Linked DNA regions of Mytilus edulis. The protein of the gene in region 1 interacts with the protein of each later gene in a pairwise test. Links are inferred from orthologs where the notes say so. Each region holds a gene or a part of one and is shown in the gene's direction. Other genes may lie near its edges. The genes, in order: serine/threonine-protein kinase B-raf-like, ras-related protein Rap-1b and GTPase KRas-like.

Region 1 (3,600 bases):
CAGGGTTGCACTTGGTCCTATTGAATTTCGAGTTGTACTGAAACATATGTGATATTCCCCACATTGCTCTTTTAATCTCTTTCGTCTTTTGTATTCTGAAATCGAAAGTTAAATTCATAAACAACCGTGATTTGTTTTACATTAGAACATACGGGTCAAACTGCCGGCAGTTGTTTGTGTTTTTTTTTTTGGCAATTTAAATAGAGAAAATCTGACAGGTTTTAAACGAGTATATTCATTTATATACCATGCCAAGATCTACAAGTCTTTATTAGATTCAAATTATTCGATGTCTATTTTTTTAAGATGCATTTTTTTGTTTGACTAATATACCGAAAATTACAAGAGCTAATTAGCGGAACTGTTACTTGCAATAATAATCATTCTGATACATACAGCTTGTTTTTCATTTTTTAATTTGTTTTATCATTTTTTGTTGTTTTTTTTAATTTCTGAGGGGGGGGGGGGTCCCGGCCTTCCCGTGAAAATAAAGTGTCCGTTCCCGCATTATGATTTAATTGATATTGTATTCCGAATTCTCAACGGTTGAATTAATTTGGTATTCCCGAATTCCCGAAATAAGTTGGTTCGATTCCAGCCATTCCCAAATAGGTTCTTCCGCCTCTCTTCAATAGAAAATATAGGCAAAATGTATAAATACTATATAGTACAAAATTCATAATACCTTGAACAACATAAAAAGAGAATTTTCTCTGATAAAGGGTATTTTTAAAATGTTTCATGTGAATAGTTAATGTCACGTACAGTAATGCCTAATTATAATTGTAAGACGGAGATATAGTACGGCTGAAGTTAAGACCGCTTAAATGTAATTGATGGATTCATTTAAATGAGATAATGAATGGGGTTCTTTATTTTTCTGTTCTTTATTTTTAAGACGTACAAAACTTATTTTTTAAAATAACTCTTCAGTATTCTGTAAAAAATAAAATTCTTAAGAATGTTAAGTTCTGTAGATCCTCGAGTGTAGATCTAGTATTAAGTCTATTAAAAACGGATAATTTCTTCCTGTATACATTCGTCATTTTTTTAATCAGTATTGTATCACCTTAGTTTTTTATTTTCCTCCGTTATTCTCTATTTCTAATTTTTTTGTTTGCTCATTTTTTTCATTATTCAATGTATCAAGGATTTGTATTTCACTATACTACAAGCCCCCCTTAAATTTAAATGTGCCGGACAAAGGAAGCTCAAGGCTTTTTTTCAGTTCAGGCGTTATGCGAAAGTCATCCGAAAAAAATAATAGATGACAAAACTTGATACAGTAAGGTCTATTGATAAATATTACACAACTGTCTGACTAATCATATGCGTAAAAATATCGACTGACTTGTACTGTCTAGAAATTCCTCGTCAAATTATCGCGTGAATATACGATAATGTAAGATAGGTCACGTGAGAGCCTCTTAAAGAGGCAAAATGGCGGTCGTTCAACCAGTGACAATGCCGAATGGGGATATTCAAGATCTACCAAATACACCGCCTAGACATGACGCATATGACATAGCTAATTTATTAGACCAGGTAGAAATAACAAATAAACCCATTGTCCGCTCAAATATTGAAATATACATGACATGAATGTTGAATTTATTGTAATTTTCTCACGACATCAGCCATAATTTGGTTTCCATTTGTTGACAAGTAAAAACATTTTTGTTTTGCTAATGTGCATGAGACGTAGTTGAAAGTAGAAAATGTGGTCAGAGGTACATTTACAAGACTTGAAATACACAAGTCATTCAACTTAAATCTGCGATAAATACCCAGATATGTTATTGCTGCCTTTTCAGTCATGTCTGTCAACCTAGCCAATATTTTTTTAACTTTAAAGGCTGTCACATCATAATGATTGTACCTATTAACACCTTGATTAACTGTTAAAAGTTCATTCAGATAAAATATAACGTTTTTGTCCGTTAATTACCAGCTATGCAAATGCTGATGTACAGAACATAACTCAAAGACGAAGGAAGCGTTGTATGTAGCAAGTGCATAGAAGCTGTCTAGTAAAATTGGTCAAGAGATTTTTTGATAAAATATTTTAAGTTAATTTATCAATCTCATCATTTGAGATGACATTTTGCACTCACATGACTTAACGGCACCTATCACTTAGTTGCTTTGTTCTTTAAAGACCAAATCAACTGTCTTGTCTCAATGTCTGATTTGGATTTGTTGATCATAAATTAGTTACATGTGAGGCAGGTGATACCTTATGGTATCAGGTCCGTTCACACTGAGTTTGTTCGCCTGAAGAGTCTGTTCTTTTGAATTTTTCCTCTCTACTAGTACTTTAATCAAATAAATATTAATATTATGGACAGTAGAGTTGGGGATCTCCATGACCTGTTTTATGATGGCAGGCGTTAAAATATCTCTCCGCAACTGTCAAGAGATCCCTGCCACCGTCAAAAGATCCCTGCCATCATTAAATAAAGATCACTAGTCACTTTAACAGGTAAATCGACACACCTGACAGGAGAACAAGATAGACTACTGATTGCACGATTTAATTACATTTAAAGGAAATTGAAATTTAGATTAAAAAAATAAATGTTTTTAATCCAGTTATAAAGAAGAAGTTTTCAAGTGGAACGCTATAAGTTATTTGGTTCGCTACTGACCCCCTACGGATCCATAGAGGGTTAGTAAAATCCATAGGGGGTGAGGCCGGAGGCCGAGTCCCCTATAGATTTTATACAACCTCTATGGATCCGTATGGGGTAAGTAGTTAACTGAATAACGAATTTATCGCAAGCTGGACTTTTTCTGCTGCGTATTGTTGAAAAATAAAAGATGAAACAAAACAACATTAATAGATGAAGTCACCATTAACGCGTCATGAACCCCCTATGAAATGAAAAGCCCCCTACGGTCTCATAGGGGCTTGTGACGGCGTTAAACCAATCACAACGTGATCATTTACCCGCGGTGCGATAAATGCTAATATTGACGACTTACGCAATCAGCATTCCCCTTTTTAAACGCACAGCAATTAGCAATAATATTTAATATCTTTAGAAGTTTTAAAGTAAATACATGTACATGTACATGAATATTTACTGCAAATTGATAATATCTGAAGAAATTTCTTATTGTCAGGGCTCACACTACTTCAGAATTATAGAGAGAAGTGACTTCTTTTTTTGAAATTGATAGGGAGAAGTGGTGAGATTTGAAAGAGATTTGAAAGAGAAGTGCTCTTTCGTGCAGTGCGCTACACTGTTTGGATTTTACTATAGTATAAAGGGTCATATGTAAATAATGTTCTTTTTATATTATTCAATTCATATCTGATTATACAATAAAAGTAACATTTCAAATTAAAAGTTGTTTAAGTTTTACTAAGGTTCTTGTGAGAACTGCCAACTAAATATTTAATATCTACTCTAGCACTAAAAAAAATATTTTTTTATTTTAAAAAATGTAAAGAAATTATAATATATCAATTACAATTTAATTCAAATCTATCTTGTGTATGAAATTCAGTGTTTCTCATAAAAAAATATAAAAGTTATTAAGCTGGGCCATAATATAATTAATAGTCTCAGAGTTAAGCAACTTTGAAACAATCAA
Region 2 (3,842 bases), about 23 Mb from region 1:
AACATATATAGATCTTACTAGGAACCCATACACCACAGCTTCTTTTGAAATGAAAAATGGAAATATGTCAGAAAGACTTATTACTGGAACTGTGATACGAATTTTCTGCCGTAGTTGACTTTGTACGTTTTGACAATATGGTTTATCGACAGGTAGAATTAAGGCATTCACATGGGTGCTCATTGTGCCCCTTTAATAGCAGACATGTTGTTTAATTGTTAAACCAAATAATTGCTTATGAAACTGACCAATCAATTTATTTTTATCATTTTAATCATTCACAGATCTAAAGAGAGATAACTCTAGTTTGGTCTTGATATTTATACATAGCTGCAACATCTTAGAATTACATAAAACCAGGGACTGTACAGGCCCGGATCCAGCCATTTTAAAAAGGGGGGGGGGTTCCAACTATATGCTCCCATTCAAATGCATTGATCGGCCAAAAAAAAGGGGGGTTCCAACCCCCGGAACCCCCCCCCCCCCTTGGACCCGCCACTGGGACATATAATGTATGTTTCTGATAAAACTAAGAAAAACATCCAAATGAATAGACATTAGACAGTAGACATTATTTTATTAAACCAATCATGGGCCCTTGTCGGGCAAGACACAAAAACATCCGATGATAATACAATAATTATATAAACATTAGTGAAATACACAATAAGTAATACCAGAGACATATATATTATTCTGGTAATACACAAATAATAAATTGATAATATGAGCAATGTAGGATATAACTATGGTAAGAGGCAGTGAGTGCAATGAGGTCGATTTAATATTAAAAGAATATGATATAAAGTTTATTAATACGGAAACGAACAAAAAGTAAAAAGAACCAGGAATCTGAGACTACTATAACACAGTTATAGTAGTCTCAGCAGGAATATAGTATCATTGAATGTTCCACTTATTTCTATTATTTACTTTCTAACCTTAAACATTAAGTCTTATTGTTAAACATTCAGGATATGTCTTACTAATCAGTAATTTAACGACCTAACAGTGCTTTTAGTACTTGTAATTCCTGCGCCCTCTTACGGTTAGTGTCTGTGCGCGGAATGTAACGACTGGATTATTCGGGTACTCGGAAGTTGGGAGTTGACTACTATTTGTCATGCGCATTGACTCTATTCCAAATTTAGAAGTAAATCCGCCATTATCAATATAAAGGGGCCAAACGTCATAACAAACTGTTGTTCACAGTTATATCTTTGAGGGAAATAACTTTTTTGGTAAGAATTCATAATGTCCAACCGTCGTCCACACACTTTTGACCGGACGTTCACTTTTTTTGTTAAAGCTTTAAAGTTTTAGCGATGGATTCCCCTCGGAATATGGTTCAACTTCAGCAGGAAATGCCAAATGTGACGAAAACAACTTTGTGTCGATGTACCTTATGATCAATCATCCGTCTTCTTATGATCAATCATCCGTCTTCTTATGATTAAATATTTTGACACTTTTCAAAAATATGTTTCTCTCTATTAGTGATGAAAATAATTATATATCTCTCGGAAAATATCAGGTTGATGACTCAGTCCCATCCCAGATTGCAGGCTGGGTACAATCCTTCAAATAGGTCATTGTAACCTGCTTGAAGTTGAGGTATGCAATGTAAATGTTTTCATTTTTCGATGGTATTTATTTCAAACTGTTAGCAAAATGAGATGAAAAGCTACATCTTCTATTTAATTATGGTCTGTTAGCCCAAAATCATGTTTTGCTCCCATTCTCTTTTGTCCCCTTTCCGACACAATGACTGATCACACCAGACTAAAACCCAACTTGTTGAACCTTGTGTCTGTTTCACATTTTATTAAGGTTTTGTTTCGAATAAGTTTTTAATCACGATCTTATGTTAAAACCAAAGAAAATAATTATTTTGATTTATAATACTGTTGGACTCAACATGGCCAAAAATTCATATTGAGAACCGTGGTCCTTGGATAAATGTCTTATTGGCAATTATTTCAAATATCCTTATTTTGAGTCCCTTAACGACTTTAGGTTTGCACTGTGTCTAAATGATTTAAACCATGACAAGTTATGGATGAGGGCGGATAGGACCTTTATCAGGACTCCAGGGTCGGGTGTTTTTAAGCTCGGATTTCAGGATCCAGGAATTCTTTTTTTGAATCTCGGGATGTTGGGATTTAAATTAAATTATATTCCGGACCTCAGGATTTGATGTTTTTATAACTTTTTAAGCCCTGGATTTTGGGATCCCTCCAGTCCCCCCCCCCCCCCCCCCCCCCCTCATGGATCAAGTCATAATTTTGTTCCATTACAAAAGAAACAATGAATTTTTAACGAGTAAGGGACTTAGTATTGTTAAGTTGAAAATGTAATGAATAGATAATACCATTTGTACTGTAAGGCCAGGGGAGAATACTTGGACTCAATAACCCTTACATGTACCGTAGGTACAAAAAAAGTTTTAGGATAGTAACCGGCACTTGGTTATGGTTACATTAAGACTTTTTAGGTTACAATCATGACAGTGTTGTTGACATACATTGCACATCTAACACTTTGAATTATCAATATTTTGCTTAGTAATAGAATTTTGCCTTTAAATTCTAGAAAAGACCTAATGACAGGCTTAATTTGTATTTTTTATACTTTGATATTAGAACACAATGAATGAGATTTGTTAACCATGCCTAATAATCATGTACATCTACATGTTACTGTATAATGTATATACATTGTAAGACTATGATGTTTTTTTTTCAATCTTATTTCAGATACCAACAGAAAATGAGGGAATATAAACTGGTTGTGCTTGGTAGTGGTGGTGTTGGTAAAAGTGCTCTGGTAAATATGCTCACTATTCAGTTATTAATGCAGGTTTTAAATGTCCAATGCTTGATCATGTTGATACAGTTATAATTTAAAATGTTATGTACATGTATCAAAAAAAGAAAAATAATCCTTCTTGTTATTATTTTTTTAGAAGAAATATTTTTTTCACTTGTGACGTCTCTGTCAATAGGTATGTTCGAGTTCGATACATCATACATTTCCGTCAAAAACTTAATATTTAGTGAACATTGTTCATGCGTTTAGGGGCATCATTACTGTTCCCATGTTGAGCCAGTGGTGGAAAAATTATTAAGCTATATATTGCACGAATTATTCAGCAAATTGAATTCTCATAATAAATTGACAATCAGCACTGCTGTCATTAAAGTATCTTCTGACTGAAGAAACATTATTTCTAGTTCATCCAGTACAATGATGATCACTAAGACACTTAATGAATGTTAATAGTGCAGGGATTCAGGCAATCCCCTCTATCTGGTAAATGACGTCATAAAGGTGTGCATAATTGACGAGTATTTGAAGCTACAAATACATTTTTTTGTAGCTTGATATGTCCAGCAAAATGTCAACCATTTTTATGCAGTTAAGCTGCATTATGCGAGCACCCTAGATTTGTGTTATACCCAATAGATGCTGAAATACTTGCCATTGGTATTATCTAGCTGGCTACTATGTTATATATACATGTTACTAATTGAATACTTTTTTAATACTTTAAATTCTGGAATACAAAAATATGACCAGAAAAACCGTAAATGATTGTCGAATCACCCAAAAGTATTGAAGTTGCACATAGGAAGTAGGGCTCATTAGGAATCCTTGTGTAGTTTATTATGGCCTGTGCTTTTGGCTAAGATCATTATGTCAAAGAATAATTCTATGAAATATTTAATCGCCGAAAATCTCTTAAGACAAGTAGTTTAGATTTCGTAAATGGCAAAAGTTGGAGGAATATTGTTTGTCATCAATACGTAGTACAACTACGTCAGTAGTCTATTATATAATAA
Region 3 (3,842 bases), on another chromosome or scaffold:
CTTTACATATGGGCTGGATCGACGTGGGACGGATAGACTTGGGCCGGATCGACGTGGGGACGGATCGGTGAAAATACGGCCATATTTGTCCATTTGTTATGATGAACCTTAAGTTGCTGCAACTGAATTTCCCTTTTTTATCCTTTTTGTTATTTTTGAATAATTTGTAGAACCAAGGATTTGTATAGTTTTACAACTATATACAAATCCTTGGTACAACTAAATAGTAAAATTAGTAAAAACAAGGATTTGTATAGTAACTATACAAATCCTTGGTAAAAACAAAACCGAAGCATTTTCTCATTTCCATTTCACAATTTATGTTGACTCAAGATGGGAATCGTTGAGAAACCTTTGTTTCAACCCTTGTAGATTTATATTAATAAATATCAAAAGAAAATTAAAACGTAAAAGTTGAGAATTCCCGCTTTAAGAGGACAATAGTTGTACTCTGGACATTATGGACGCGGGAAGAAGTGTGACGCCCACCATTTTGATTTCCTTCTTTCAAGGACATGATGTTGCAGTGTTTATACGTCATTTTTTCTGTTGTTTTCAGAAAAAAAATACAAGATCAAAACGAGAAAAGTGAAACAGCTAATCGGCATCACTCGGAATACCTACATAAAGTGGAGTCCGAAAGCCACGCACTTTGAAATTTTGAGTTATCTTCTTTCTGGGGTCTTCAGTCACGGAAAGCACCGAGGCAGCCCGGCCAAAGAAATCTTTGTTGGAAAGATGCTTGTATTGCATGTAAACCACCAAAAGACCAAGCGCAAGAATGATAAAGACCTAAAAATTGGGGCACCTTGCAGGGATCACAGTTTTACAATTAATTAATAATTTTTTGTCAGAGTTATCTCCATAAATTATAATGCAATAGTTATGAGAAAAAACACCAGAAAACTCATGCATTTTGTACTTCAGTTTTGATAGTAATTCAAAGCTTCAGGAATAACAACGAATCAACAAGTGAGACTACCTGTTACTATTTTTAGTCAAAATAATTTCTATTTATAGAAAGGTAACCCCCTTGAAAACCGTTGAACAGAATGCTGTTGAATTCCATTTTTGTTTAGATGAATAAACTTGATTTTTCAAAGGTTTAAATTTATAGTCATAATAAATATAACCAGATCTAGAAAACAGATTAATGAATATTCTTGCATTTTAAGAAAGACGACAAGATTTAATTTCGGAAATGACAAATATCCCTTACGTTTCTAAATAATTTTGGGGTATATATAATGCGACTGACAAAAATTGGGTCATCAATGCCTGTTTAGTGCCTCGCTTCAAAGAACGGAGGGTCACTGGGTTAAAAATCTTTGTGTGTGGTGAACATTTGTAATATTTGTGCATCTTATTTTGAGTGGATTTATGAACTGGTCTTTCAAATGACAGAATACAAGCTTGTGGTTGTTGGAGGTTTGTATTTTTAATAAATTTAAGGGACGAAATGGGTGACAAACTGATACTTGATGTGTGTCAGCTGTTAAATTTTTGTTGTATCTCAGAAGACACCAAAACAGACATCGCCCATGAGAGCATTGTTTACTTCGCAATAAAATTCATGACTAATTTTCCTCACATTATCAGTAGAGGGACTAAATCATTTCGAGCATTTAGTGATAGGGAAATTACAATATCTTGATCAAATGTTGTAGAAGCAACACATATTAACCATTGTCATGATGACAAAACATTTACACTGAGTATTATAAGAATGCAACCTGTTGAATATTATGCATATATTTCACAAAAAATTGTACTACCAGAAGACATACAAAAGATATATGGGCAGGAATTCACTAATGCTACTTTAGTGTGACATTGTAAGAAAAAAATAAAAATCATTATAAGCTTCTAAATTTTTTACAAATTATTGCTACAAATGGTGTCCTTCTATTTGTAACCAAAAAAATCATTTTTAAACTTGCGTCAGTTTGAAATCAAAGCAAATAACGTATTTGGAGCATGTAACATAGACACTTTTTCCAAATTGAGATTAATGATTCCTTAACTTATTCAACATTTAATATCATATATATTGATCACAAAACCTTGTCTATCATCAAAACTCTAAAATGTATATTTTCATTTCTTTCAGAAATTTTGTGAAAACAAGTTTCCTCTTCTTTTCTGTCAATGTTACATGCAATGTTTAAGAGATAAATACAGTAAGAATCATTTTCTTTCTGAACATGTAAAGGCTCTTTTTCATTGTGTTACCCTCACATTAAAAAATTGTATTAATATTTTTGCAATTATCTCATTTCTGTCATAAAATAGTGACTTAAATGTTGCATGTAACGTGGACACAAAAAATATGAATAATGAACCATGCCAGAATTGACCTTATAAGATATAAAAAGCCTCCAAACAACCATCTGAATGTAAATTATACAATTATACTGCCACATTTCTCATATATGATATTATTTAAATAGTGGTTAATACCAAAACCATTCACCTAAATTTCAGACAGCAGACATATTTTTTTTTAACTATACCAGTAGTTATGCTTGTTCATGGTGGTACACTATGGAAGGCTAAATTAAAAGATATTCAAATGTCAAAATAACCAGAAAAATAAAATTAAGACCAAAGATAGATCAATTGATGAAGGAGTCATCCAAAATTTCCACAACATGAAACATTTTTATATCAGTAAGTAAGCAACCTGTTTTTTTTATGCACGGGGATGAGATTGATAAGAAGACAACCACACAACCATCAGCATCCACAAAGTTTCTCACTCAATAACTAATACTGACAAAGTAAGGGTACAAAATGATTACATGTATCCCTCATTCATGTGACACAGTTACACTTAAAACTAATAGTATGAAAAACCAAGACAAAATATGGACAAATCTACGAGAGGTTGATACAGCTGCATTTATTGAGAATCTTATTTTCAATCGATTACATAACTTCTATAAAGAACAATTTGGGTTTCATTTTTGAGGTTGTTGTCTGATAGACATATTACCCAATATCTCGTTTTATTTCTGCTGGTTAATCTTACATTTATGATAACTTTTTAAGGTTTAAACAATAAATTTTATTTCAAACATTCAAAACAAGTTTCTTGTTTCTTGTTTCCTGTCTCCAACATCTTCAACTATCTATCTGAAAAAAAGAAAAAAACAAAACAACAATTAATCTACCCTCAATCAGAACCAAAATCCATGCATAGATTATAAAATTTACAATAATATAGAAACTCTCAAATATCTTGCTTCGATTTTTCAATGCCATTTCATCTTGAAAACTTGTTACCTAAACTACAGGAAGCCACAATTTAAAGGGCTCCATAATGACCAGTGTAAAACAATTCAGAAGAGAAAACCAACACCCACTAGACCATAGTCCTGTTTTCATCTTTATTTGGCCTTCTTTTACTTTTTTGTTTCATTAGCGTCACTGAAGAGTCTTTTGTAAACGAAAAGCGTTTCTGGCCTACAAAATTTCAATTCTGGTATCCATGATGAGTTTATTATTATTATTTTGAAATCAGAAGGAGCCTGAACCTCTTATAATGCAAAGATATTCTGGAATGTCATTATTGGCATAACAATTAAAAAAAAATGTTACAAATTGAATTCCTCATGATTTCTATAATGAGCATCAGTAAATACACATGATACATGTGTTGACTGGTGATTGAAAATGGATAGATAAACAAGATTTTGAAATAACTATCTTCTACACTGCTGTAGAATGGTCAAATTGGAGATCACTAGTATGTCTGCATACACAGTCACCATCATCTGGTTTTCTGACACAGACAAACACTACTATCTGACTGGCTGAAAGGACCGTCACCACCTGACTCA

Evidence for each region.
Region 2: the proteins of serine/threonine-protein kinase B-raf-like (region 1) and ras-related protein Rap-1b interact in a two-hybrid assay, tested with the Drosophila melanogaster proteins (2 studies listed by BioGRID). The link is inferred for Mytilus edulis from reciprocal best matches to the Drosophila melanogaster genes Raf and Rap1.
Region 3: the proteins of serine/threonine-protein kinase B-raf-like (region 1) and GTPase KRas-like interact in a two-hybrid assay, tested with the Drosophila melanogaster proteins (2 studies listed by BioGRID). The link is inferred for Mytilus edulis from reciprocal best matches to the Drosophila melanogaster genes Raf and Ras85D.

What each region holds. Positions count from the first base shown.
Region 1 is NC_092344.1:73,763,602-73,767,201, reverse strand, and holds the start of serine/threonine-protein kinase B-raf-like, read left to right. Parts: upstream 1-1,392; 5' UTR 1,393-1,440; coding exon 1,441-1,545; intron 1,546-3,600.
Region 2 is NC_092344.1:96,278,292-96,282,133, forward strand, and holds the start of ras-related protein Rap-1b, read left to right. Parts: upstream 1-1,037; 5' UTR 1,038-1,241; intron 1,242-1,372; exon of another isoform or gene 1,373-1,614; intron 1,615-2,756; 5' UTR 2,757-2,769; coding exon 2,770-2,826; intron 2,827-3,842. UniProt on the Drosophila melanogaster protein: Ras proteins bind GDP/GTP and possess intrinsic GTPase activity. Plays a role in photoreceptor cell determination.
Region 3 is NC_092350.1:17,274,139-17,277,980, reverse strand, and holds the start of GTPase KRas-like, read left to right. Parts: upstream 1-1,255; 5' UTR 1,256-1,397; coding exon 1,398-1,428; intron 1,429-3,842. UniProt on the Drosophila melanogaster protein: Ras proteins bind GDP/GTP and possess intrinsic GTPase activity. Plays a role in eye development by regulating cell growth, survival of postmitotic ommatidial cells and differentiation of photoreceptor cells.